Linked DNA regions of Mytilus edulis. The protein of the gene in region 1 purifies or fractionates together with the protein of each later gene. This does not show direct contact. Links are inferred from orthologs where the notes say so. Each region holds a gene or a part of one and is shown on either strand. Other genes may lie near its edges. The genes, in order: protein AATF-like, nucleolar protein 10-like, neuroguidin-like and RNA cytidine acetyltransferase-like.

Region 1 (8,012 bases):
ATATGTACAGTTTTTCTAGAAACGAGAATCCTCACAAACAATACTCTAGTGTAAAAATGTCACGTTGTTCTGCCTGATTGCCATGCAAAAAACATGAAATGCTCTCATCAAATTGGTACAAATGTTATTATCAATCAAATTAATTTACTGATTTTTGTAGAAGTCCCGGCAATGCTGGTTACTTCAACATCACGAAATAAAGTTTGCAACAAACTTCCAGTTATAACTCGAGACAACTCAGTGGCATGTATGTTCACAGGACAGTTACGTTTGTAACTGACGCGTCTAGCATGTGTTAAAACAGTAGATGACACCTTTTAATTAATAGTTATCCCACGAGGACGCGGTGTGTCAGTGTAAGATTACCCCGTTGATATGCTTCGATGTAATTTTAAAAGACGTATCAACAATTAATTGAAAAATAGCCATCTTTACCTGTATTTTTATACACAGCAATCCATCCAGATATTAAATGTGCTTTAAATTTAAAGATAGAGTTACATAAACATTTTTTTAACCCAATACAGGTGATCGATTCTATTTTCTAGCACGCGATAAAAGTCAACAGTGCAAGTTAGAATGTCCTGGTTCAATTCAGTTTTCATGGAGAGATTCATAACCTAGCATCATGTCACATCTCTGGAAATTGTAGAGTGCATCCGTTCAGGCGGATTTCACAAATCAATGATGCCATGACTTGTTGCTTAGAAAATTTGCTTCACTAAATTCTATTAAAAATTAATTGTACAAAATTAGAACAAAAATCATACCTTGATGGGTCCATGCAATTCTGTTGTCATGATTGTATTTGTTACAATATTTACAAATCTTTCGATCGATACAAATGTTTTAGCGCTTCATATACAATATAGTTTTTACTTTTCCAGTCGCAATTAATCAATTGCATTGTATATGAAATACCTGATAATTAAGGTTTAGTTACAACTGCAACTGAATTGGACGACAAGCTTTTATTAAAGAAATCTACGCGTATCATCCATTAAGATATATAACGTCCAGTTACAACTATTACATGCAGATCAGGACGATAGCATGTTAAATGCTTTGTGAATATGAACCCTGCTTTGTAAAATGACCGATACCATAACTTGGAATTTCAACGGACTAGTTCACAATTTAAAATAAGTCTGGTGCATAATACGTTGCCCTAGCTGGACACATTATTCTGACCTCGAGCTGACCAGTCTATTCTTTTCTCCTAAATGTCGACTGTCATGTGGAAAAAGCAGCATGTCGACTGCTAGTTTGAAAAGCAGCAAGTCGACTGTCATGTGGAAAAGCAGCATGTCGACTGTCAAGTGGAAAAACAGCATGTCGACTACCATGTGGAAAAGCAGCATGTCGACTGTCATGTGGAAAACAGCATGTCGTCTGACTACCATGTGGAAAAGCAGCAAGTCGACGACTGTCGTGTGGAAAACAGCATGTCGCCTGACTGCCATATGGAAAAGCAGCATGTCGACTGTCATGTGGAAAACAGCATGTCGTCTGACTACCATGTGGAAAAGTAGCAAGTCGACTGTCATGCGGAAAACAGCATGTCGTCTGACTACCATGTGGAAAAGTAGCAAGTCGACTGTCATGCGGAAAACAGCATGTCGTCTGACTACCATGTGGAAAAGTAGCAAGTCGACTGTCATGCGGAAAACAGCATGTCGCCTGACTGCCATGTGGAAAAGCAGCATGTCGACTGTCATGTGGAAAAACAGCATGTCGACAGCCATGTGGAAAAGCAGCATGTCGACCGTCATGTGGAAAAGCAGCATGTCGACTGCCATGTGGAAAAGCAGCATGTCGACTGCCATTTGGAAATGCAGCATGTCGACTGTGGAAAAGCAGCAAGTCGACTGTCATGTGGAAAAGCAGCATGTCGACTGTCATGTGGAAAAGCAGCATGTCGACTGTTTTGTAGAAAAACAGCATGTCGACAATTTTCAAGGCTTTGGTTTGATTTGGCATTGGATCGAACACATGATCATTAATCAAAGGAGATGAAAGGTATGTGCCAATTATACTGTTGCAACCCAACAACACAAGCAAGGAAAATATTACAAAGAGATCAATGTACGGTCTTCAACAAAAAGAGTTTAAACTATAATCATCCGAACTCCAAATCTACTGTTTAGCAAAGTAATGACCAAGTTTTTAATTATTTTTTTATATATTTTTTTATCTATATTAAGATGTCAACCCTCCCCCTTTAATCTCGATCGGTTGAGTAACAAACGGAATATAAAAGAACACCAAGAACTAGTTACTTACTTACTTATCCTTTTCATCCCCAGTGGGACATAAGGCCACAAAAAACTGCCTCCACTTCTCTGTCCTTGGCCATGTACTGGGCTTGGCCCCATGTGTAACCCATTGCTTCTAATTCTGCTGTAACAGTTCTTCGTCAGGTGATTCTATGTCTCCCTGGTTTCCCTTTTCCTGGTGGTGTCCAATATAGAGCTGTTTTAGGTGTGCGGTGTTGTGGCATTCTCAGTACATGACCTAACCATCTAAATCTTCGTTGTTTAATTTCTGCTGTTATACTCTCAGCATTACATTTCTCCCAAAGGCTCTTGTTGCTGTTCTTATTTGGCCAGAATGTTCTGTTGATCTTTCTTAGGCAGCTAGTATGGAATGCATCTATTACTTTTTGAAGGTCACTAACTAAAACACGCCCAATTTTCTGAACCATACAGTAGGACAGATTTTATATTGCTGTATTAAATTCGCAGTTTGGTCATTAAACTCTACTGGTTGGACTTCCAGATTGTAAGTTTTGCAAATGTTGCAAGTGCCTTAGATAGTCTTGCCTTTATACCCTTCCCTGTCCCATTATCTTTACTTATGATGCTTCCAAGGTAGGTGAAATCTTCAACACTGTCCACTGACAGATAATTGATTGTTATTGGTGTTGTATTTCTAGTGTTTATTGACATTACCTTGGTCTTCTTGGCATTGACATTCAGACCAGTTTGCTTTGCATAGTTGTTAAGTATGTTGGTATTCCTTGGAGGTGTTCACTTTTTGTTGATAATATGGCAATGTTATCAGCAAAATCAAGGTCTTCTAACTGGTTAAACATGGTCCACTGGATACCCCTTTTCTTGTCTGATGTTGTTTGTCTTGGCCAATAAAAATAGGATTGGTGACATAATACATCCCTGTCTTACACCAGATTTAACTTCAAATGAGTCTGAGATAGAGTTATCAAGGATGACACTACATCCAAAGCTGTTGTAGAAGGCTTTTATTAGCATCAAAATTGTTGGTGGAAGAACTAGTTAACAATGATATATAACAATAACAAAACAAGGTCAAGACTCAAAATAATACACACACCCTTTTTCGCCCATTGCATGTTTTGGTGAGGGATACCCTTAATTAAATAACAGAGAACAAAACCAAAATGGGACATTATATAGTTATATAAGTGTGAGATTGTTTCAATAATTTAGCGCTTTAGGAAGAGTGACGGATACAAAATGGGTACTCCCCCCCCAAAAAAAAAATACAAAGCAATGGTAAAGTTTTTAGATTTCGTAAGTAAACCCCAAAATTATTTGGATCGAAAAGTAAAATTTTGCGGTGCATCATTGCATTATATCCGTAAGAATGCACCAAAGGACATCAAAGTTTGGTTGCAATTCATTCCGCTGATTGGGGGGGTGGGGGGGGGTGGGGGGGTGGGGGTCACCCTCTATACTATGTAAATGAAACTGTGGTATAAAAATTCCATGCAAACGATAATCAATTATACAGTAGGTGGCTGTATTTCATAGAGCATTTTATTCGTCAACTTTATAAACAAAACTATAAATACTATATAAACTGGCTAATTTCAACATACCAGAATCATATTTTGTTTCCGATTTTCCAGCTGTATTAATTAGACTATTTTCGGACGCCAAGAAGGGGAAACTTTTATTTTTTCAAAACAGAATTATATATGTAAGCATTGAAAGGATTCAAATATATATATAGAGAGAGAGAGAGTACAGATGTTATGTGATCAGTTGCTTCAGTAGTGAAATACACTGAGAACTTGCAACCACTTCGTACCTATCAAAACTATGTCAACTTTACGTGTGCATTTTTATGCCCCATTTATGGGCATTATGTTTTCTGGTCTATGGGTCCGTCTGTTCGTTCATCTATTTGCACCATATTTTATATTCAAATACCGGTTGAAATATTAGTTTTTTTGTTTTTTTTTAGTATATTTAAGAATTAAATGCTTCTTTTTATAACTTCATTGGGGGTGTAAAAGCGTTGACCCAAGTACATTTTGTATGAAGCGCGAAAACAGTATTGTATTTGAAGGTATGCAATACAAACAGTATTACATAAGAAATATTAGTAAATAATTATCAGCCAACCAGTAGGTCTAAAGGATTGTTTTACTGAAATATGCCATGATAATTATAATTCTCTTAAGTTAAGAATAAAAAACAGGCAAAAACCTTTTGCATATCAAATATCACATACTGCTAATATATTAAAGAATAATAATTGTGTAAGTCAGACTGTAATGTATATGTGTCAACTGTTTTTCCCCCATTTATCTAAATAAAGCTTTATGTCTTATGTCTTATGAAATAGAACGGAACGGACGGAACAAAACGAAACGAAACGAAATACATTCAAAAAGCTGCCAAATGTCTTCGAAACCAATATGTTTGTGTATTAATATAACTATATTTTTTTTTGTTATAAAAGCTGAACTCCTGTATCCTCTCTATCCCAAAGTTATTTTTTTCAATTATTTACAGTGTTTGTCATTCCATAAGGAGACCGTGCCATAGATACAATCATTAATTAGCAATATTTACGAACAGTACAGAATAAAGTCGAGATGCTCATTTTACAAATCCTTATTAGCATAATTCTGCATAGAAAAGGGAACTTCGTTCTCGAATGCCTGTGCATTTAGTGTCGTGTACTGATTAAATACAATAAGAACCGAGTTCGAAATCTGTGTAATAAATTTAGCTTACTCTCGTTGATTGCATTTGGAAAGTTTCTAGACTATTCATGGCCAGATTCGCATACATGAGCAAGCATGGTTAGCCTACGCGAACAGATAGCTAAATTATCATCAACTGTACCAGAATTTAAAGATCCTGAAGATTTTTTTGGAGATGGTAAATTATGTTCTTATATGGGTAGAAAAGAATAATGATGAACTTATATTATAAAGTTATTGTCAGTACGGCCAGGAGTGTAGATACGTGCACCTGGTCAAATCGGCACCTGGTTAAATCGGCATTTAGTCAACTCGGCATCTATTGAAAGTCAATTCGGCATCCAATAATATTTCAAATAATATATTTAAATAATCCTAAAAATGTAAAAAAAAAAACCAACATCAAGCAGTTAAAATACAAAAGTTATTTGTTTGAAGTTTTTCCAACATTCTATGAATGATGTTTTGATTAAGTTTTTTTTTCAGTGAATTAATTAATAACTTATTTCATAATTAACATATTTGTTGTTTTAAGTTTTAACTCTATACATGTAGTCATTGATGTTTTCTTTTCTTCAAAATCTGAATAAAAAAACAATGAAGCCATTACCATGTTGTTTAATTATGAGGCCCTAGTGGTATATCTGATACTTAAAACTGTAATCCTCAACCTGCATTTTAGACAATTTCTGAGAAAATTAGCAACAATTAAAGGGAAAACTATGAGTCTTTACCAGTATTAATACTAATCAAACTCGCATGGAAAATAATTAGCAAGAAAGAAGGTTTTCTTGAAAGTTTATACAGCATTAAACCAACAATTGTGCATAATGCTCAACTGGTTCAAATATGCATTAAAAGTATCCAATACCTTGAATACACATTTTAAAAAATGAACAGGAAAAAACCTACAGAAACTTTAAATAATGTAAATAACTCAATATTTTTCTGAAAATGCTTGATAAAAAATACATATATTTATCATGGGTGCCGAAATTACTACATCGGGTACCGATTTAAGGTAGCACAATACAAAGATTTTATAACTCCAACTCCCAAGTTTTAAAATGCTGTAACTTTCTTAATAATGCTTGATAATTTATAAAAGTGGTAGTTTTGGATAGCTAACAGATTACTCTTTCAAATTAATGCAATGTTAGTATTATGCAACAATTATGTAACCAATTATAATGTTAACTGTGTCTAAAATATTTTTCACCAAATTTCCACTTTCAAATGAAATTAGCCTCGGCATAGGTATCCCTAGAGGGTTGATTTTATTACATGTTGTTCCTATGGCCATTATCTACAAAAGGGTGTCTCAGATTTCAGATAGAATGTATAGATCAAATTTTACACCTAATTAAACATTATCTTCTTTTATGTGGTTAGGATGTTTACACTACATGTAATTAGGGATTTATGAGAGAATGGAATACCATAGGGACAATTTGAGACACCCTTTTGAAGCCCATGATATGTTGATTAAGATTCCGTTAAATTTTTCTGTTTAGCTAAAGAAATGATAGAGCTAAATTCATTCAATTGAACTGACCAAGATTTTGCCACTAATTACATAATAATTGATTACATAATGATTGCATAATAAAAATATTGCATTCATTTAAAAGATTAATCTTTTATCTATCTATATATACCTCTTTTATTATTTTGTATGCATTCATAAGAAAGTTACAGCATTTTAAAGGTTAGTGATTGGAAGTAAAAAAATCTTTGTATTGTGCTACCTTAACCAGGTGACAATTTGACTAGGTCCCAATTTGACTATACCGGGTGCCGATTTGACCAGGTCACGATTAAACCAGATGCCAATTTGACTAGAATTCGTAGATACGAATCCATGATGTAATTATAAGTATTGAATGCTTCTTTTTGTAATTTCATAGGGTTGTAAAAGTGTTGACCGTGTGTACATTATTAGAATATTAGAATGAAGAGGTTCCGCCCTTCATACAAAATGTACTTGTGTCAACGCTTTTACACCCCAATGAAGTTACAAAAAGAAGCATTTAATTCTTAAATATACTAAAAAAAAACCAACTAATATTTCAACCGGTATTTGAATATAAAATATGGTGCAAACAGACCCAGCAGGCGAAAAATATAGGGTGCAAATGTTGTTTTGGGAGCAACGGATGTGATACCTTTAAATATGATTTTGCAAATCGTACATCCACTACTCTCCAAGCCAAACAAGGTTATGATTCCATCCCATTACTCACAATGAAGCAAACAGGAATCTGTTTCATTATAAAATAATGCCCTCTAAATTTCTAGTTAAAATAATTATGACGTCCTGGACGTGTTCATGTTGGAAGGCTTTTATATTTTTTTGCTTTGAGGCCTGTCAGTCTTTCATTATTTCATTGATATAAACAATTATGTCTTACCTTTAGCAATACATAAATTCTAATTGCATTAACATTTCATTTGTGTTTCATAATATTTATTTTAAGAAAATAATTACTGAAGCGTAATCTTTCTTTCAGAGCAATACCTGCCTTTAGATTGCATGCAATAAAGAATGAATAATCACCACATTCATGTCCCAGTGAATTCAAAATCCTGGTCACATTGTCCGGTTTCCCATAGACAAGTTTCCTATAAAGTTTTTTTTTGGAAAATTTAACATCACAAAGCAGATATTTGCATGTCATGTTTTGCCCTGAATGAGCCATAGTCAACAAGGGCAATTCATTTTAAAATTGAGAATGGAAATGGGGAATGTGCCAAAGAGACAACAACCCGACCATAGAAAAATACAACAGCACCTGGTTAAATCATTGTTTATGCAAGTTGTCTTTCATCCTTCCTGTAAGAAATATAAATTGTTCCTGGTGAAGGTAAATAAAGAAAAGTCAGACTGACAAAAATATTATAGTGTTATTTTAATTCATATGGAGTGTAGACATAATGAACTTCTGCATCTGATTATATGGTTACAAAAGATTACATTATGGTACGAATTAAATTCTAGGTATAACTCATACATAAATCATAATTTCAAATTGGACGT
Region 2 (8,020 bases), on another chromosome or scaffold:
TAAATAGTTGACACAGCATAGGTTTCTGACACAGAATGAATGTGTTCTAATGAACTTAAAATTTTTGTTTTCTCTTAGAGCAATTCACTATGCTGTTGAATATTAATCCTCTCAAAAAAATGTTTGAAGAAATTTTCTTTTTTATTTATGAAATTTCAAATGAGAAAAATTGAACCCAATTTTTTTAATCACATCCCCCTTTCCCTTATTCCAAAACTAATCTCAATTAAAATTTCTAATGGAGTTTGCAACAATAACTACTCATTTAAATACATCATAAAATATTAAGATGTAAAAAAACTGCTTGTTATCACTGAATGGTAAAGATTATTTTAATTTATCAGTTGGTAGTAAAAAGTGAATATACATTGTATATTGTATATAACAAAGATTTAAGTTGATTCTGGACAAAGAAAGATAACTCCAATTAAAAAAAAATCTTGCTATTGCACAATATTTTGCAATTAGATATTTCTTGCTTACTATTCTGGACAAAGAAAGATAACTCTAATTAAAAAAAAATTGCTATTTCACAATATTGTGCAATTAGATATTTCTTGCCATTGCGCAATACTGTGCAATTGAAAAGACTTGCTATTGCACAATACTTAATATAATAATTTTAGATCCTGATTTGGACCAACTTGAAAACTGGGCTCATAATAAAAAATCTAAGTACATTTTTGGATTCAGCATATCAAAGAACCCCAAGATTTCTATTTTTGTTAAAATCAGACTAAGTTTAATTTTGGACCCTTTGGACTTAAGTGTAGACCAATTTGAAAACAGGACCAAAAATGAAGAATATACATACACAGTTAGATTTGGTATATCAAAGAACCCCATTTATTCAATTTTTAATGAAATCAAACAAAGTTTAATTTTGGACCCCGATTTGGACCAACTTGAAAACTGGGCCAATAATCAAGAATCTAAGTACATTTTTAGATTCAGCATATCAAAGAACCTAACTGATTCATTTTTTGTCAAAATCAAACTAAGTTTAATTTTGGACCCTTTGGACCTTAATGTAGACCAATTTGAAAACGGGACCAAAAGTTAAGAATCTACATATACAGTCATGACAGTTAGTTTCGGCATATCAAAGAACCCCAATTATTCAATTTTGATGAAATCAAACAAAGTTTAATTTTGGACCCTTTGGGCCCCTTATTCTGTTGGAACCAAAACTCCCAAAATCAATACCAACCTTTCTTTTATGGTCATAAACCTTGTGTTTAAATTTCATAGATTTCTATTTACTTATACTAACGTTATGGTGCGAAAACCAAGAAAAATGCTTATTTGGGTCCCTTTTTGGCCCCTAATTCCTAAACTGTTGGGACCTAAACTCCCAAAATCAACACCAACCTTCCTTTTGTAGTCATTAACATTGTGTTTAAATTTCATTGATTTCTATTTACTTAAACTAAAGTTATTGTGCGAAAACCAAGAATAATGCTTATTTGGGCCCTTTTTTGGCCCCTAATTCCTAAACTGTTGAAACCAAAACTCCCAAAATCAATCCCAACCGTTCTTTTGTGGTCATAAACCTTGTGTCAAAATTTCATAGATTTCTATTAACTTAAAATAAAGTTATAGTGCGAAAACCAAGAAAATGCTTATTTGGGCCCTTTTTGGCCCCTAATTCCTAAAATGTTGGGACCTAAACTCCCAAAATCAATACCAACCTTCCTTTTGTGGTCATAAACCTTGTGTTAAAATTTCATAGATTTCCATTCACTTTTACTAAAGTTAGAGTGCGAAAACTAAAAGTATTCGGACGACGACGACGACGACGACGCCAACGTGATAGCAATATACGACGAAAAATTTTTCAAATTTTGCGGTCGTATAAAAATGAATTGGTATTGAGTTCCTTCCTTATATATTTTAGTAAACTGATAAATATATATTTTATTCAAAGTCTCATGCATACAAGACCGGAAAAGGAAGTAGATTTCTGCGCAGATGTGGGGATTTAAAAAAGTCTGAAAAAAAAAGTTAACAATTTTGAGTTTAGTAGAAAATTCTCACCAATTTATTCATTTTTTTTTCAATTTGTCTACCGTTATTGGGGACTTTGTCCCCATATTACATACTAGCATTATACCCGACATAAATCATTCTGACCACCAAACATTACATTATTTAATCAAATAAATGTTAAAGCATTCTTACACCATGAGTCAATATATACATTATTTAGGCAATCCATCCAAACACCAGGGACATACTCTACTACAACTTATAGGCTGCATCAAAAATGGATTAAAAATAAGCTCTTTGAAAGGAGCAGGGTTTATTCTTACTTAGAGGTCACTTCTAGCAAAAATTGTGACATTTTAATCATCCTTCGCATTGAGTACTATATTTACACAGTTATGCCTCGTTCACACGTTCATTTCATTTGAATTGAATTCGAATCTAATGCAAATTGAATTCGCTAATCGTGTTCACACACTCTTCCTTTTTAATTTGAATTGATTCGAATTAGCTAATTCCCATTATCCAATTTGCATTAGAAATGTGTTTTTGTTAATTCGAATTAAAAGTTAACGTCGTTAGGACAGTAAAGGGATAATTTTGATGTGCACATTGCAATTCAAATTAGAATTTACCGTTTGGATGTTACTGTATCGAAGGCAAATTAAGGTTCATCATAACAAACGGACATTAAAATTAGTTAATGTGAATAGAATTCGAATTACGTGTGAACACAGCATTAGAGCATCCATATAAGAAAATTAAAGATAATGTTAAGTGATAGATAAGGGTTTATACAAAATATTCGCTTATATTCCACACTGTGACTCCATGATCACCTTTTCAATATTTATCAATAACCATAAAATATTTCTAGTCATTTACCTGAGGTAATGATTTACCAGCACTTAAATTGTATATTTTCACATTGTTTGGATTAGAAACTTGCATATTAATTGCGTAAAATAATAATACAATCACACGTGCAGTTGTTTACATTTTTGTTCAAAGGGAGATAACTAATAAAGATGTATCTACAATGTGCCTATTGGTCCCGGGTACATACCGAGGTAATTATGAATTATGGTTTGTTTTTGATTCGGTTAGATGAAATAAAATAAAACATAATCTCTTGGTCAGACTACTATAACACAAAAGTAGAGTTGTCTCAGATTCTTATGAGATATGAACTCTTTATCGATTGGATAAATTACGTGCTTTTGATGGTCATTTCAATTTGGCTGATAGTTATGATTTTTCTACTCTGTACACTACACTACCACAATCTTATCAAAAAGACATTCTGTCTGTATTCCATTTAAAATATCTGGTTGTAATCATTTGCTGCAACTCATACATCTCTAATGGAAAAGGAAAATATGTTAGATATACTTACTGGAACTGTGATGAAATTATTACGGCTGTAAATTTTCTCATTGAAAATATATATTAGCGTTTAAGACAATAAAGTTAATTGACAGGTTGTATATATTCCTATGGAAATTAATTGTACCACTTTAAATATGCACCTCATGAAAAGGTACAAAAGGAAAATCATCTTCCAATAATGGAAAATTTATTTTTATTTTATTTCACAACTTGTAAGCAATGTGCATGTCAATAGTAGAATTCTAGATTTTAATGAATGTCATCTATGTATGAGTCACACAGTAAGACTGGAAAATAGTTTAATCTGGGGGTCTCGTTACCACACAATGATCATCCCTCTACCAACTTTTTTTCATAATTACAATGATTTGGTTAATTCTATCTAAAAACCGGATACCACATCCTTGTTTTTACGCTGATGTTGTTATTATAAGCACGAAAAATATGACACTATCCATGCTTCAACTATTTCATCATTGGAATCAAATTGTTCTTAAAGGCAGATACATATTATCCACTTTATTAAAGGTTATCAATTTAAAACAGCAGTATTTTTTTAACAACGGTACTGGGATATCAGTACTAACTTTGATTTTGTTTTTAAAAATTAAAACATAATGAAATATATATTGGAACTTGTTATTTGTGTACAGTTCCGCAAATTCATGATCCAATATTCTTTTGACACTGTTTACTTATATTTTTGTATCTTATACACATCTTTATATTTGTATATTCTATTTATTGAAGACCAAAAATATTGACTGTGTGCCGCACTATATAAAAAGCACCTAACTGTTCAAGTTTTAATTAGTTGCAGCCCTCAAGCTTCAATAATGTTATTGTCTAGTGTGTCTGACACGTCCGGCATCCAGATTCAATAGCTACACATATCACCTTCCACATGTTCCATTTAACCTGAGATTACTATATTGATCAGCGGTTATAGAACTAGGGATCACATTTAACTAATCACTTTGAGAATTTACCCTGTAGGTTGACTTTGCAAGTGTGTGTGTACATATCCTATAACTTATAATCGTTGTACATAAGGGAACTGATGCACGGTAATCTGTAGAGAAGCTAGATACATGTTGTAAAACCGGTATCATTCTTTTGTCGTGTGTTACATGCAGTTCTTTTCTAGTAGTTTGCAGGTACGTTGTTTAGTCGGTAATTCTGACGTAACAAGAACTACCCGTTTAACTATTTCAGTTTTTGTTGTTTTTGTTGAGTTTTTTGTTGGTTTTTTTTTTTTTACAATTTCTGTATCGATAATAAAAATCTCTCTATTATCTATAATTGAAAATGTATTGTATATTTGTCAAGGTTCACTGTATTAAATGCATCATATATAAATTGTTGCTTTCTCAGAAAGATACAAACATATGTATGATGACAAAAAGTTTTGCATCAAAATCATCAGATTATTTAAATTATTGATAAAGATACATTTTGTATCAATTAAAGAATGAATTATAAGAATTATAGATAAAGTTAAAAGAGTTAAAATTGACGTTTTATACATATTTTTTGTTGATATGTAATACATATTTCTTGGGATTGAACTTGATATTCATATGATGAAGATATAATCTTTCAATCTGTTTAATCGAAGTCTGGAGCTGGCATGTCAGTTACTGCTAGTAGTCCTTTTATTTATGTATCATTGTCAGTTTGTTTAGTTGCTTTTGTTAACTATTCTGACATCGGACTCGGACTTCTGTTAAACTGAGTTATACTGTGCGTATTGTTGCGTGTTTGTTTTTTCTACATTGGCTTAATAGAGGTATAGGGGGAGGGTTGAGATCGTTGTGTGTTTGTTTTTTTCTACATTGGCTCAGTAGAGGTATAGGGGGAGGGTTGAGATCTAAAGAAAACATGTTTAACCCAGACACATTTCTACATTGGCTCAGTAGAAGTATAGGGGGAGTGTTGAGATCTACATTGGCTCAGTAGAGGTATAGGGGGAGGGTTGAGATCTAAAGAAAACATGTTTAACCCCGACATATTTCTACATTGGCTCAGTAGAGGTATAGGGGGAGGGTTGAGATCTAAAGAAAACATGTTTAACCCCGACACATTTCTACTTTGGCTCAGTAGAGGTATAGGGGGAGGGTTGAGATCTAAAGAAAACATGTTTAACCCCGACACATTTCTACTTTGGCTCAGTAGAGGTATAGGGGGAGGGTTGAGATCTAAAGAAAACATATTTAACCCCGACACATTTCTGCGCCTGTACAAAGTCGGGAGCCTCTGGCCTATGAAATTGTTAGTTTGTATGATTTTTAATTTTAGTTTCTTGTGTATATTTCAGAGTTTATACAATACAATATTTTTATTTTCCAAATTAAAGGGCCCATTAAGAGCATAACGTGATTAATTACAACATGACATAAACATTACAGAGTAATTAAAGAAACATAAAATAATAATTCAAATGCATGAGGAAAGAATCAGTGGTCAAGGGGAGATAATTTTGATATCTTTTAAAGTATTTAAGTAAACTATTTTTTGATTTTCTAAGTTGCAGGCCTTTTTAGTTTAGTATGACCCATATGTGTTCTTCCGCCTTTGTCTGCTCTTTGGTCGGGTTGTTGTCTCTTTGACACTAAGCTTTCCCCATTTCCACTCTCAATTTTATTTTAGTCTGTTTTTAATGTATAAATCATGTTTGTTTGGCTTTTTTTATTATTAAATTCAGTGACTTTCTAATAAGACATTATGTTGGGAATCGAAAACAATGTTTTATATACACATGTATGTACAATCTGCATGCTGAGGCCTGCCTCCGGTTGTGGGATTTTTTCGCGAGGTTGAAGACGCATTGGTGTCCTTCGGCTGTTTTTTCTCTTTGATCGGGTTGTTGATCCTGTTCTCCCCACTTTCATTCTCAATTTTATGTTAACAGGATACTGTTAAGTAATTTTATGTTTTCCGACTTCGTCTCTTTTCCAGGTAACACCTGCCAAAGGATAAAGTAAAAAAAATATTAATGTAAATCAGTCGTTGATTTTGGGTTTGAATACGGGTTTGTAATACATATAATAGAAATATCTAAAGAAAAAATCTATGTCACATAAATGTTTTAATTTATTTTTCGGAAAACAAACTTTGCATTTATGGCCAATTTTGATTTACTACCTGACAACATCATATTAGAAGTTTTGAACTATTTACCTGTTAAAGAATTATGCATAGCTGGAAGGTAATGATTTGCTTAAATGCGTCCTCTCACTCACTGAACGAAGATTTGTACAGTTCTAAAGTGAGACTGTCAGAGCCTGTCCCTGTACAAATCCTTTTACTGAATGATTCAATTTCTCAAATAAAAGTGTATGGTCCAGCAAAAACTTATCAGTGTCAAGCATCACAGCTTGTTTTATTTTTAAACTATATACATATACATGCTCTTAATTGACTGTGTCAGTGCTCTAACTTGACTGTGTCAATCTGTCAATGCTCTAACTTGACTGTCAATGCTCTTACTTGACTGTCAGTGCTCTAACTTGACTGTGTCAGTGCTCTAACTTGACTTTGTCAATGCCCTAACTTGACTGTGTCAGTGCTCTAACTTCACTTTTTCTGTGATCTAACTTGACTGTCAGTGCTCTAACTTGACTATGTCAGTGCTCTTACTTGACTTTGTCAATGCCCTAACTTGACTGATTCTGTGCATAACTTCACTTTTTCTGTGATCTAACTTGACTGTGTCAATGCTCTAACTTGACTATGTCAGTGCTCTAACTTGACTGTCAGTTCTCTAACTTGACTGTGTCAGTGCTCTCACTTGACTGTGTCTGTTCTAACTTGACTGTGTCAATGCTCTAACTTGACTGTGTCTATGCTCTAATTTGACTGTGTCTATGCTCTAACTTGACTGTGTCTATGCTCTAATTTGACTGGCAATGCACAAACTTGACTGTGTCAGTGCTCCTACTTGACTGTGTCAGTGCTATTACTTGACTATGTCAGTGCTCTAACTTGATTGTGTCAGTTTTCTACCTTGATTGTGTCCGTGCTCTCACTTGACTGTGTTGATGCTCTAACTTGATTGTGTGGATGCTCTAACTTGACTGTGTAAGTGCTCTAACTTGACTGTGTCAGTGCTCTCACTTGACTGTGTCTGTTCTAACTTGACTGTGTCAATGCTTTAACTTGACTGTGTCTATGCTCTAATTTGACTGTGTCTATGCTCTAACTTGACTGTGGCAATGCCCTAACTTGACTGTGTCAGTGCTCTAACTTGACTGTGTCAGTGCTCCAACTTCACTTTTTCTGTGATCTAACTTGACTGTGTCAATGCTCTAACTTGACTATGTCAGTGCTCTAACTTGATTGTGTCAGTGCTCTAGCTTGATTGTGTCGGTGCTCTCACTTGACAGTGTTGATGCTCTAACTTGAATGTGTCAATGCTCTACTGTGTCAGTTCTATAACTTCACTTTGTCAGTGCTCTAACTTTACTTTGTCAGTGCTCTCACTTGACTATGTCAGTTCTTTAACTTCACTTTGTCAGTACTCTAAAACGACTGTGCTAATGCTCTAACTTGACTGTGTAAGTACTCTAACTTGACTGTGGCAATGCTCTAACTTGAATGTGTCAGTGCTCTAACTTCACTTTGTCAGTGCTCTAACTTCACTCTG
Region 3 (7,590 bases), on another chromosome or scaffold:
ATGGTTGATAGGTGTCCCATTAGCAATCATACCATATCTCTTCATTTTTATATCAATGAAAATAATGTACATCTCCTTTGTAAATAAATATATTGTCTTAAAATACATGCTACATTAATTGATATGATATTAAAGTGATATTAAGTGCTTGCTTTAAATCAAGTGGCTATCTATATTGATTTAACATACAGTACGAATCTCTACAAGTCGTTCTATAGAAGGATCCCCACTGATGGACTGGCTACTGGTCTTCTTGTGGAATAGGAATGTAGAGTCAATCAAATAACTTAGTAACAACTGGTACTTAGTCTCTAGAAAACTGATTCCCTAAAACAGAAATTATACTCTTTAGATGAATATCTATTTGGCTGTCATCTTTTATAACATTTGTAAAATTTTTAATAAAACTGACCATTGACTTGTATTTTCTTTTATAAACATACATGACATATGATTCCATGAATTATTCTTTCATAAAAATACAAAAGAATTACAAAATTATTTGATCATGAACAGAGAAGATAATATTTGTATAATTCAAGGGAGATAATTAAGATGTGGCATTAGAACCTTCATTGAAATACTGTCTAATTAATGATATCTGGTAATAAGCTCTATTTACCTTTGACGTATCAAACTGTCCTTCCTTCGCCTTCTTTAGAATGTTGTCTGTATGGTTAATAACATCTTGTGTTTTACTTCTCAGATCAGACATTAATTCTAATGCCTTTGGTACTTCAGTCATATCTTTATAAAAAAAATAATATATTAGGATATTTCAATACAAAGTCACTTTAAGAGGCTACATAAATACAAGAATATGTGGTATGAGTGCCAATGAGACAATTATCCATCCAAGTCACAAATGGAAGAGTAAACCATTATTGGTCAAAGAAGGGCCATCAACACAGAAAAGCAATGAAGGGCACCTACCTGTTTATGGGATGTTTGGGAGACAAGTATTAAATTGCAATCAAAAGGAGCTAATTGAAAACAAGTTGTTTAATATTTTATCTCATTATTAATCCAATCCTGTGAACACTTTCACAACTTCCAGTCTAACCAAACATGATAGGCCATGGAAATATGAATGCTGGTTTCCCCATGCACGTGTAAATTATTCAGGCCCACCTGTCAGAATTTTTTTTTAGTGCAAATATCAATTTTTACAGAAAATGTTGTTGTTAACCTGAGAGTATAATCTTGTTTTACATTCTATACTGTGAAACTAAATAAACATTTATTGAGCAATGTTGACACACTTTATAGTGATATTAAATTAGACAATTTAAAACAGATTGAAATTAATAATTGATACAAGAAATCAGAGCAAGCTTTTTTTTTCATACATCATGTACATGATTTACATGTACACAAAAAAAAAAGAAAAAAAAGAGGGGTTTAGGGAAATTACAACCACTTTGGTATGGCTTACTTGCAGATCCAAGGTATTCTTGTCAGCAAACTATTATTTTCAGCTCTTTGTCCTATGACCACAACTTCTGTAACATCACTCAACTGGAAAAACGCAGACTATCTTTATCTATATAGGACAAATTAAAAATAAATGTAAGGCCAAACGTGACAATGTACATGTACTTGATCCAACTAAATCATATGGCTAAAATCTTGGTTTTCCCATGGAATTTAATGTGTTTGTTGGTCCTGTTAATTTGATATTTTGGGTTTAGACAAAATAAAACTCTGCACTTTAATCATGATATTGTTTTTCAAAAGTGTGTTGATGATATCAATATACATATAGATGGTAGATTTTAGTTGCTTTTAGTCTACACTGGTAGCATTATCAAAATAAGCTTTCTACTCCATTCTAGTTTTTATTTTTTTATGGATTTTTTTTAATTTTTCATCATAAACATGATAAAGAAGCACACCATTCTTCAAATTTGAATCTGATCACATCCAAGGGAGCATAAAATTTCCTAGTACAAATGTTCTAATAGTTGTGACAACTTGAAAGGCTTTTTTAATCATTTGCTGTGATGCCTTCCTCAGACACAATATTGCCAAATTTATTTTTTTCAGTTGGACTCTCAGAGAAAATTTCAAACATATTTCTACTCCTGGATTGTATAATATACATGATATACATTCATCGCACCAAACGATGCAAATTTTGATGAACACAAGAATTTCCAGATAATTTAAATTCCAGATAATATAAACCAAATGCTCCTGAAATTCTGGTCCTTCAAATTTAACAGAGTTCGGTGCAAAATTCATTTAATATTCTTGATATATGAAGAATGGAGAAGAATCTTGTGAAATCTGGGCAACCATTTAAAAAATATCCAATAGGTCATCTATATACCTCGGATGGATTTGTCACTAATTTTATCATTACTTTTGAACGTTTTTGGAAATATTTTGCACAAACAAATAAAAAAAAAAACATTAAAGAAGAAATAGAGGCACATTTGTATATTTCTGTCTACTGTAACCTGCGATAAGTGGTTATAGAGGAACCTTTTTGACTAACAACTGTAAAATTCTTGGTGAATGAATTTTAAGTATATGACGATAAAATGTTCACTTTCTTTTAAACAAATCATGTTTTAAAATATTTTTCCAAAAATAACAGTTGCCAGTAGCAAATAAATATTATAGAAGAAGAAGAAATATTTCAGACCTCTGACGAATCAGGATAAGGATATTTTGCCAAATCAAGTTACAATCATCAAACCAAAGTATATTTCTATTGTTTGGATTTTAATATATAGATTTAAAAAATAATGTCTACCAAAAAAAAATATAATGGCAAATTGGTATTTTTTTAAACATATTAATTTTTCAATTTAAATATGTAGGTTTCTGTCAATAAACAGCAACAATGTCTTATTATCACTTGAATAACACAAATATACCTTTTCTATGATGGTTATATCGTTAGGTAGACGAACTTTGTGGATTAGAGGCTGCAAATTATGTTGAAAACAAGGTCCAGGGGAAATAATTTAGTAAACCGGAAATCGTGTTTAGATTGTAATAAAATAAACAAGTTCGGATGTTTTTGTGTTAATTTTTTTACAGCAATTTCGAACTGTGATATTTAAAGGAAGATTTGATATGTATAAAACAGCCAAGCCAACATATCTCTGTTAATTCTAACAAAAGACAATAGAAAGGTGATAATATTCCCCAAAAGAATCGTTCCGGAGAAATTGACCGAAGTTGGTTTGGTTATTTACTAGATTATTAACAAAATAAAAAGAAACAAGAGAGTGGAGTGCTCAAAAAAGGAACTTGTACAAGCAAAGTAAAGCTTCAGTATGGACTAAAATTAATCTAGAAAATACTTTGAAGTTACGATAAATAATACTGATATGTATTAACGTAATAAATGTAAGTGTCAATCATTTTTTATCGTGTACACCCACGTTGTTTATTTCTCATTTGTTTTTAAATGACTTTGAGAACGATGAGGAGTGGGGAACAAGACGTTTCGGTCATATAGGCAGTTCGGCTTTGGTAGTTTCGGCCATGTACTAAAAGTATTTACCGCATCATACCTTTATTTAAATTAATGGAAATTTTGTTACATATATTACTTTTAATTTTATTTATTGACCTTTCATTTTTGCCTTTTATAACTTTTGAAAATAAGTAGTATTTGAAAGTTTGTTAGTACAGCCGTCAACAATGAGAAAAACCAAGGATTTGTATAGTAAGAAGGATTGGAATCTCATGGACTAATTAGACATTTTAGACATTATTTTATTAAACCAATCATGGGCCCTTGTGGGGCAAGATACAAAAACATCATACAATAATTATATAAACATTAGTGAAATACACAATATTATAAGTAATACACAAATAATAAATTGATAATATGAGCAATGTAGGATATAATTAAGGTAAGAGGCATTGAGTGCAATGAGGTCGATTTAATATTAAAAGAATATGATATAAAGTTTATTAATACGGAAATAAAAAGTAAAAATAGAACCAGGAATATAGTATCTCATTCTTCTTCTTCTTCTTTTAGTTTCCGCACTCCATCATAATATTGATGACTATGTGCCGTGCATGCGTGGGTAAAATTTACAATTTTATGTTTACATGCAGTAGTTCTCCTCATGACCAGTGCACAGCAGTGAGGGACTTTTACATCACAACAATGCAAAGGTCATCAAGGGGAGATCCTTCAGAACTAGCTACAGATACATGAGATTACTCCAATAGTGATTCTCCTCATGATTAATGCACAGCAGCAAGGGTTGACATTGCTACTGGGCAATATTCATCAAGGGACGGTGCTCTAGAACTCACTATAGAGAAAATATAAAGTTCAAATTACAAGTAGTAGAGGGAGATAAATCCCATTAACACTTTTCATATTTCTTAATGAACATGCATAATTCTGATAATAAATTCTCATCTTCATTATTCATTAACCATATCAGTTTTTGGTTAAGGTCAAGATTTTTAAAATTTTTGCAGCAATTATTTATCATTGTTATCATGTCTTTCCTTTGGTCTGATAAACTATCACAGTTGAAAAGAAAATGTGTTTCATCTTCGACCTCATTACTCATGTTGCTACAACATCTAATACTGCATAGTCAAATGTAACAATCTCTGAAATCTCGACTGTGACATTTTCCATATTCTTCGTTAACCCTTTATACTTATCTTTATAAAAAATCTTTATTGCATATATACAGAAATAATTACTTATTACTTTTGTTTTTAAAACATTGATAGAACATTAAGGAAAAATGTTCAATTCGTAATTAGTTTTTTTAAACTATTTTTCAGGTTGGGAAAACATTTTAGATTTAAAAACATGACCACCATAACTGTGCCAAAAGAACCTGAGTACCGATCATGTGAGCTTTCAGGGGAGAAAACTTGTAATGATGGAAGATGTATTTCAAAGATAGATCTGTGTCGTAAGTTCTTCTTAGATTGAAAACAGAAAATTCCATTCAATATTTATCATCTTTATTGACATATCATTCACTGTTAATCCCCAGATTAAATTGACTATTTACCATGTTTACACAAAAGAATTGAAAAAAAAGGGAAATGATGTATTATGTGTTTAAAGTTTCCCTTCTGACCCTAATTTTGAGAATTAACAAAGAATGATCAGCAAGCTGTCTCATCTGAGCATTGATGATATTAGGACATAATAGTGTTAAATAGCTCTTAGCCTCTAGTTATAACTAAAATACAACTGACCTCTTTCGAAATACTAAGTGGAAATTATTAAGAGTTTTGTTGTAAATTTGATGTGATTTCAGCTGAGGAACAGTTGATGAATCAGAACACGATACTAATTATGATCGTAGTGGGAATAGCTGTGGTGATTTTCCTTATTGTGTTATACTGTTTTCAACAAAGACAAAGAAATGCTTCAAGGTCAAGGTTAAGAAATCAGAGTAAGTACTGTAGTAAAGTGCTGTTGGTTCACACAAACAAGGTCAAGGTTAAGAAATCAGAGTAAGTACTGTAGTAATGTACCATTGATTCTCAAAAACAAGGTCAAGATTAAGAAATCAGAGTAAGTACTGTAGTACCATTGATTCTCACAAATAAGGTCAAGGTCAAGACATCAGAGTAAGTAAGGTAGTAGCTTTGATTCTCAACAAGGTCAAGGTTAATAAATCAGAGTAATAACTGTAGTAATGTACAATTGGTTCACAAAATCAAGGTCAAGGTTAGGAACTCAGAGTTAGTACTGTAGTACCATTGATTCTCACAAACATGGTCAAGGTCAAGACATCATAGTAAGTATGGCAGTACAATTGATTCTCAAAAACAAGGTTAAGGTCAAGACATCATACCACATAGTAAGTTCTGTAGTACCATTGATTCTCAAAAACAAAGTTAAGGTTAATAAATCAGAGTAAGTATGGCAGTACCATTGATTCTCAAAAACATGCTCAAGGTCAGGACATCATAGTAAGTATGGCAGTACCATTGATTCTCAAAAACAAGGTTAAGGTTAATAAATCAGAGTAAGTTCTGTAGTACCATTGATTCTCAAAAATAAGGTCAAGGTCAAGACATCAGAGTAAGTATGGTAGTACAATTGTTTCTCACAAACAAGGTCAAGGTTCAGAAATCAAAGTAAGAACTGTAGAACCATTGATTCTCACCAACAAGGTCAAGGTCAAGACACTAGAATAAATATGGTAGTAGCTTTGATTCTCAACAAGGTCAAGGTTAATAAATCAGAGTATGTACTGCAGTACCATTGAATATCACAAACAAGGTCAAGGTCAAGAAATCAGAGTTAGTATGGTAGTACAATTGTTTCTCACAAACAAGGTAAAGGTCTCAAGACATCAAAGTAAGTACTGTAGCACCATTGAATCTCACAAACAAGGTCAAGGTCAATACATCAAAGTAAGTACTGTAGCACCATTGATTCTCAAAAACAAGGTCAAGGTCAAGACATCAGAGTAAGTATGGTAGTACCATTGATTCTCACAAACAAGGTCAAGGTTCAGAAATCAAAGTAAGTATGGTAGTACAATTGATTCTCACAAACAAGGTAAAGGTCAAGACATCAAAGTAAGTACTGTAGCACCATTGATTCTCACAAACAAGGTCAAGGTCAAGACATCAAAGTAAGTACTGTAGCACCATTGATTCTCACAAACAAGAGTAAATACTGTAGCACATGTCATTGATGCTATATACATAAATAAATGTGGATAAGTTTTTCATTTGCCTTTTCCAGCTTCAAAATTAAAGGATACTATCTTAACCCTCATATAAGTCTTGTTATATGTAGGGGCTCTATTTGAACCCTTATAAAAGTCTGTTATTTATTTGAGTATTTATCTATAATGTATGTATCTAAAACAGTAAACAGTAGCTGTTGATGCTAATCATTTGTGAAATACATTCAAAATCATGAAAATGTAAAGAGTCTTAATCGTTATGATACATACCAGTACATTAACATATTTTAGAAGTGAACACTTGAATGTTGCATACATTTGTGCATATTGTTATCCTTCCTGACATTGTTGTCTCATTCACCTAATTTACTTTGTTTTAGTTTCAGTTTTATGAAATATGTTGAAAGGAATGTTTGTTTCCTTGTCACACTTTTCAATAGACCAGCAATGTTCATGTTAAGCTATATTTATCTTGCAGCATCAATAGATAACGACATGGATCCAGAAAGATCATCTTTATTTGAGCCTCCTCCAGCCTATAATGAGGCCATAGACACAAGGTTGTACCCTCCCACACCACAGATGCTCAGAGTGAGTTAATAAAGTAGAAATGTCCTGCTATACATTCATAACATTTGAGATTCAATTTCTCATACTCCATGAGCCTATAAAAGGAGTCCTATATTGATGTGTTTCTAGTTATTTAGTTCTCCACAAGACTGACATCACATTATACGATATTAAACATCTGATAAAAGAATTCATTAAAATTCTGCTGTATTTTTATGTTGGCATAATGGTTAGAGAGCTTTAAAAGAAAAAGGCTAATGTTTAGGTATTCAAAACCTATACATTGGTAAACTATTCCTGGGCCTTTTATTATTGACTGTACAGTATGGGGTTACATTGTTGAAGGCTAAATGACGAGCTA
Region 4 (6,830 bases), about 14 Mb from region 1:
AGAACATCGGATTTTAATGAGATTGCACAATACGCATGGATGTCCTTAAAATAAACTATTATCTGAATTTACATGTTAAACACGTGCTCAATTTCCATGCTTTTTTGTTTATTTTTCGTCAATTGTTGACAAACAGGTGACAATCGTTAAACTTCGGCTTTAAAACACGAACTTTAATTACCTGCCATATTTTCACAACAACACTGACCGATTGAAAAAAACAATTGACGATTATACGATATTTACACGAAAAAAATGATAAATTCGAGCACAGAAGACTAAGTTTATGATGTTTGTATGTATTGGTTTAAGAATTGGAAGAACAATATTTTTCACCGGTCACTCGTTTCTTATGACTTTAACAGTAAAAGTAGTATTAATAAATAAAATAATTTTGTCATTCAAAGTATTACAAGATACATAAGTAAAAGCAATATTAATAAATAAAATAATTTTGTCATTCAAAGTATGATGGGATACATAAGCACAGAGTCACGTCAAATTGATATCTTAAAAAAACAGACTTAACAGTAAAAGTAATATTGATAAAGACAAATAAAAGAATACTATAACACATTATTAAGATAATAAACAACGTGAATATTTAACATACCTCTGGATACGATCCAAGAGACATAAGACTGAAAAATGGCATCCTTGATGGTCCACCAATGTTTGTAGCAACAGAGAACACATTCTCTAAGGTCTGACATAAATCATTGACCAGTTCTCTAAATGTTAATAGTGGATAGGACGTGTCAACCAACAACATTCTGGCTGAAAAATAAATTATACTGTACTTTTATTTGTGGCATACCAATTTTTGTGATTTTTGTGGGTGGCTTCATCAACATGTCCCAACGAAATATATAGCAACTGTTGTCAAAATACAGACATGGAAAGGTCCCCATGTATACTATAGATTTGACTTGCTACATGGTTATGGGCATACAGTATAGAGAATACATCTAGAATATAAGCAAAATACTATGAACTATATATATACAACTTCAGACAGAATTTTACCAATTTAATCTTTAAAAAAAACAAAAGGATAAAATAAAATCCCATCTTAACACCTCAAAATACCTATCTTAAAAATAAAAATGACCAAAATAAAGAATTATGAACTATGTCATGACATTAAAAATTAGCATTCTTGAACATAACCCTACTCACATCAGATCTGTTAAAGGATAAAAAAAAAACCTCATAATAATCTAATTGGTGAAATTGCAGGTGGCTTCATGTCAAATAAATAATCTGCATTTGTAAAACATACTTACCAGGTTGTTTACCAAGCAGCATCCTTGTACCCTCTATTTTTTTCATGTTGCCTGCCATATCAGCAGATGATGTTTAAGTGACTAGATAATAAAATATCACATCTGTATTGTCTTTACTGCCATCTACAAAATATAACAAATAATAAAAGTTCTCTTAAATATATGGAGAAAGACTACATTTTGGTCTCTTGTGGAGAGTTGTCTCATTGGCAATCATACCACATCATCTTTTTTATATATATATACAGTTATTCAAGCAAAGTGATCATAACAATATATCAGAATAAGAAAATATGATAAGATTGACAATCAGTTAACTATCTATCAAAGACAAGGGATAATGATATTTAAGTCCTCAACAAGTTACCATTCAATGGATAATGATGTGTGATAGGTGTTTAACATCCAGTTGCAAATATTACATGCATATTGGGACCAAGACATGGTTTCTCACCTTGAAAAATAAAAAAAATGATTTCCTGTAAATAGATGAAACTTTGAATATGTTGTTATTTATTTGAACATGTCTTCAAAGTTTAATTGCATTAAATAACTTTTTATGGAAAAGGTAATACTAATATCCCTAGATGATATGAAATAATTTACGGATTGCGAATGTAAGTTGTTACTTGAGAGATGAGTAATAATATCAAATTATACTTAATATCTAATAATTTTGTCATTCATCTTTTCTTAAGTGTAAGTAACAATGAGTAATTTGGGAAGATGTATTAACTGATGTTTGCTAAATGCCCAGTGGCAAATATTTCATGAATGTTCAGAATAAGAATTTGTAAATGAAATACATTAATATAAGTGTACTCAAGTAAAAATGTACAGAGTCATAGATACATCTACTATGGTGCATACTTATACTCTGTAAAATGGGGATACTAATTAAATCAAAATATTATTAAATTTATTTCAAATATCTATGCATTGGATGAAAATGTACATGTAACTAATTTCTGTTATGCATTCATGTGTATCCCCTCTTAGACCCAAATGTTTTTTTTTCTAATTTGGGCACCAATTGTAACTGGGGAGCATGATTATTTGGACTACGGTAGATTTAACTAGATTCAACATACAAAAAATACAAAATCATCTTTGTCTCCTCTGGGAGGCAAACATGGGACCTCTGTGTTACAAGGAAGAGTGTAAACTGACTAAGCAATAGAAGAACTTCTTAAGCTCATCCGCTAAGGTAGAATATACTGCATGTACTAAGGAGAGCAATACACCTTATCGCTAATCCCGGCTTACCCAGCTGCTTGTACTTTTGATGTCATACACAATCACTTTCCATTGTGGAGTAAAATATTTTGTTTTATGACTTCAAAATTTTACATGGAACCTGTGTGATATCCAGTCCTAGCAGACAAATAGCGATAAGGTGTATCCTGTAACACTATCAAGCAATATATATCACTGCATGTGGTCACTAGTGCTTTAAAAAAATCCTGGGGAATGTCACCGTGAGCTCCAATGTTATTAAGATTAAACAAAGACATATATATACACATATCTTTCATATCTGAAAGAGGTGTCAAACAAGGCGATGTTCTAAGCCCTTTACTATTTACTATTTTTATTAATAATATTGTTGAAAATTTAAAAAACAATAGCACAGACCCTGAAACATTGAAAATAGATTTTAAATATTAACATGAAGCAAGTAGCACTAGTAATGTGTTCATATATGTCTTTTGAAATATATTGTGCAAAATAAAGAAAATAAAGATTGGTTTCCTGTCACGTAAACGGTGAATCAAAATGTATTAATTTTTTCTTAAAAAACTCAATTGTTCCATTAATACTATTCTAACACCAACACAACCCACAGAATAAAAGTTAAAGTTTTAGAACTTATAAAAAAAGGATACAAAAAGAAACCAAAGTCTGAATACTAAATTATGGTCCATATATCTGTATATCAAACTATTACTTAATAACAAGTGTAGAAAAACACTTAGATTAATATCATCTTTTATTAATCAATCATTTGAATTAAGGAAAAATGTACTTATAAATGAGTAATATGAACAATTTGAAGCTATAACATACAATATACTTATGTCAGTAGTCTATTAACCTATATATATTGATATTTATAACTGCACATTTCATTGTTCATAATGTGCACAATGATATACTATGTAATATTGTTTAATTGCTGCATCATTACTATTAGTATAATAGTTGTATGGGCCGTTGCCAATTATTGTAATTGAGTTTGTGCCAATACAATATTTGTATGTCTCTGGATTAAAATTGGGGATTGAGACTGCATGCATGCTTCTCAAAACATGGAATAAGTATTGCTGACTGGCATTAGGCACCACCAATCATTTACTTTGTAGAAATAATGTTTTAGTATCAACTCAATCTTTACTTGGCTAGTGCTTAACTAAATGCAGGTGTATCAATCTATTTTTGTTTTGCAGACGAAAAATTACAAACAGGAAGTTCATAAACTAATTTGAGAAATGCTTACTGAAACGGTCAAGATATTCCGGAAACATTTTTTATGAATTTTTAAAAATGCTATGGCACCACACGACCAAGTAGGGACCAAGTACACTATTGGTATTTGAGTAACAAAATATATAAATGTAAAAAACTCTTCAAGCCGCAACATTGTGGTGAATGACAAATTCAGTGAAATTGTGTTGAGAATATTCGATTTGTCGTATCCGATATGTTTCGCCTCCATCTCCGAAGTCGGTTTATTACCGGAAGCACGTGTTGAAAAAGCAAAACACAAATGTTTACCACTGTACTTCGTTTTTGTGAACATCGAGGCTCGAACATCTACATACTGCGTGACAAGTAAGACAGTATCTCACTGTAAAACATATTTTATATGTAAAACAATGTAAGTTATTCATACAAACCAGGTTTTAAAACAAAAACGTTTGATCTCAGAAAAACACCAGTTAACAGGTCAGGAATAACCACCAATTGGTGGATTATACCTCAATTGACGTATAATCCACCAATTGAAGTATATTGGTATAGACCAATTGACGTATAATGCAATTTTTTTGTAATAGAATGCTAGTGTGAGATAGGAGCATGATTTTGCAACTTGCAACCTATTTTATGGCCCTTATTGAGTCCTCTGAAAGTTTCAGTTTTGTCAAAGCCTGCTGCATCTCTTGTTACATCCCAGCTCCTTTGTTCTAACAGGGGTGATCTGAACCGGATCACCCCTGCCAGATCACCCTAGTTTGAGTTTCTTTGTTATGCATGCTTTCCTTTGTTCTGTAACATTTTGGCGGGAATGTCAAATCCACTATAAAACTTATAATTAATTTTACGGAAAAGACTATCTATCAAAATTCACGTAGAAAAATCCAGTAGATATGCTGGGATTCGAACTCAAGACCTTTAGCATATCAAGCCACGACACATACCACTACACCAGGACGACTTGATACGAAATAATAGTAATTTGACATACTTAAAGGAAGCAAGATATTTTTATTAGTGGGGCGAGTTGTCAAACCTTTATTCAGTGGGGTTTTAACCTTTTACGTTAATTTGTGAGTTTTCAGACTGATTGTTCAATTTGATTTTACACTTTTTCAAAGTGGGGCAAGTCGGTAAACAAGATTGGGAGGATATTTTTATAAAGTGGCGATAAAGCGTGGGCCGATTGGCAAGTGGGTCGAGTTGACATTGTTTGATATCTACTCATCGTGTTTGGGGGTCAAAAAGGGTATACATCATATAGTAATATATAAAGTATATTGTTATGGTTGTGTGGCGTTCTAAACTAGATTTTATGAATTGTAAATGGTTTTTCGTCTAATCTAAAACAGCTGGGATGTAAAATAGTTATCCCAGTCGGACTTGGTGTGTCAGTGTTAGATCACCCTCTGGCCTCCGGCCATCGGGGTGATCTTACACTGACACACCGCGTCCTTATGGGATAACTATTAAAGAATGCATGTGTACAACAATTCTTTTGTTGAAACATTTGTACTATTGACCATGATTGACTTTTGATAATGAAAGTCAAGTATTAACAAAGAGCTCCATTCACCTGTGGAGTTGTACTCATGATCGCATGACTGCAGACAGTAATGATGTCCATTGACAGGTGATTACAGGTAAATTTGCCAATCAAGAATTGACAAGATAACAATAGAAGAAACTGCAAATACAATTATTGATTAAATGCAATATGTTATGTCACTATACTAAACTAGGAATGTTTGACAAGTTTTCATACCATAATATGGTTTTAAGAAAACAATGCTCCATTTTGATAGAATAATTTCTTTTGAAAAACAAAGAATTATACACCAATTGGTCTATACCATTATACGTCAATTGAGGTATAATCCACCAATTGGTGGTTATTCCTGACCTGGTTAAGACAGTTTTCTCACAAATTCACAAATGTAGCCTAATCTTTCTTAATACTCAAGTATATAACCAAAACTCACACTGTTGCTTCTGTGTCGGTCTGAATAACTAGAAATATGAATTTGAATTCAGTATTAGTCGAAATAATTTTGACGTCTGGCAAGGCAAAATTAAAATAGCCTTGCCGTCATAATTAGTTGGACTAGTTCAGTATGTGACCGGAGAGCATAAATTTCATTACAAAATTGCTCGTCACCCAATGTCTGAACCTAGGTCTCTGTGTTATAAGTCTTTTTTTTCTTTTATTCAACAACAGTATTGCTCGCTGTTAACAATTACTACACTACTGTGTTACAAGTCAGTGTGTATACCCACTGAACTAATAAAAGTAATTCCTTAGCTCCACTGCTTACGGCTAACTTTGCATCTACCACATTTTACTATTTATGGAAGCAATCCTGTTACATGTCCCCACCTCAAGAGTGATTATACTCTACAATGATGATATATTCATTTTTATATATATTATTCCCGGGCTAGGTAATATTCCTCTAACCGTTGGTTTTATTGTTGGGTGCCAAATGTAATGGGAGAGCATGATTCTTGTTACAAAATCATTTGGGACTCAAACCAGGGAAGTCTGTTATAAGGCAGTGCGACAGATATGTGCCAACTGAGCTAAAGAAGTACTTCCTTAGCTGAACCGCTTACGGCTGACTAAGTATCTATTTTCTGCAACAAGTTAGATTTACAGTTTTACATGCCCAGGGAGAAGTGCTAACAACAGAATTGCAATGTTTCCCACTCCTGAGAAAGATATTATATAAAAATGTAAAAAGATGTCCGCAAATATCAAAAATCATCAAAAGGACCTTGTATTAAGAGCTACGTTTTCGCAGCTATGTGTATGGATGAAGTTACTCAAATCTTTTCATGTTGATAAATTGAGTGTAGTTTGCTTAACATCTAGTGACATCTTTTAATGCTGATTGACTTGAGTGAAGTTTACTTATTGACTACTGTGGATTCATTTATTTTCGTGGGTACCAATTTTCGTGGTTTGAGAAAAATTTGCATATTTGTGGATATTTGATTTCGTGGTTTTGCCAAAGTCTGCACACATTCCTTCAGGATATTTGTAATTCGTTGAATATTTGAATTCGTGGT

Evidence for each region.
Region 2: the proteins of protein AATF-like (region 1) and nucleolar protein 10-like purify together in Homo sapiens (affinity purification with mass spectrometry; 4 studies listed by BioGRID and IntAct, counting the BioPlex papers as one, with this or other methods). This does not show direct contact. The link is inferred for Mytilus edulis from reciprocal best matches to the Homo sapiens genes AATF and NOL10.
Region 3: the proteins of protein AATF-like (region 1) and neuroguidin-like purify together in Homo sapiens (affinity purification with mass spectrometry; 3 studies listed by BioGRID and IntAct, with this or other methods). This does not show direct contact. The link is inferred for Mytilus edulis from reciprocal best matches to the Homo sapiens genes AATF and NGDN.
Region 4: the proteins of protein AATF-like (region 1) and RNA cytidine acetyltransferase-like purify together in Homo sapiens (affinity purification with mass spectrometry; 3 studies listed by BioGRID and IntAct, with this or other methods). This does not show direct contact. The link is inferred for Mytilus edulis from reciprocal best matches to the Homo sapiens genes AATF and NAT10.

The regions. Positions count from the first base shown.
Region 1 is NC_092350.1:18,299,626-18,307,637, forward strand, and holds the start of protein AATF-like, read left to right. Parts: upstream 1-5,004; 5' UTR 5,005-5,071; coding exon 5,072-5,153; intron 5,154-8,012. UniProt on the Homo sapiens protein: Part of the small subunit (SSU) processome, first precursor of the small eukaryotic ribosomal subunit.
Region 2 is NC_092344.1:119,866,863-119,874,882, forward strand, and holds the start of nucleolar protein 10-like, read right to left. Parts: upstream 3,019-8,020; 5' UTR 2,938-3,018; coding exon 2,872-2,937; intron 1-2,871. Other genes in the region: F-box/LRR-repeat protein 12-like, read left to right, coding at 6,498-6,583.
Region 3 is NC_092348.1:507,930-515,519, reverse strand, and holds the start of neuroguidin-like, read right to left. Parts: upstream 3,001-7,590; 5' UTR 2,886-3,000; intron 1,544-2,885; 5' UTR 1,436-1,543; intron 748-1,435; 5' UTR 746-747; coding exon 623-745; intron 328-622; coding exon 190-327; intron 1-189. Other genes in the region: uncharacterized protein, read left to right, coding at 3,362-3,363, 4,783-4,916, 5,271-5,408, 7,138-7,250. UniProt on the Homo sapiens protein: Part of the small subunit (SSU) processome, first precursor of the small eukaryotic ribosomal subunit.
Region 4 is NC_092350.1:32,050,660-32,057,489, forward strand, and holds the start of RNA cytidine acetyltransferase-like, read left to right. Parts: upstream 1-3,828; 5' UTR 3,829-4,118; exon of another isoform or gene 4,119-4,164; intron 4,165-6,830. Other genes in the region: meiosis 1 arrest protein-like, read right to left, coding at 614-777, 1,287-1,344. UniProt on the Homo sapiens protein: RNA cytidine acetyltransferase that catalyzes the formation of N(4)-acetylcytidine (ac4C) modification on mRNAs, 18S rRNA and tRNAs.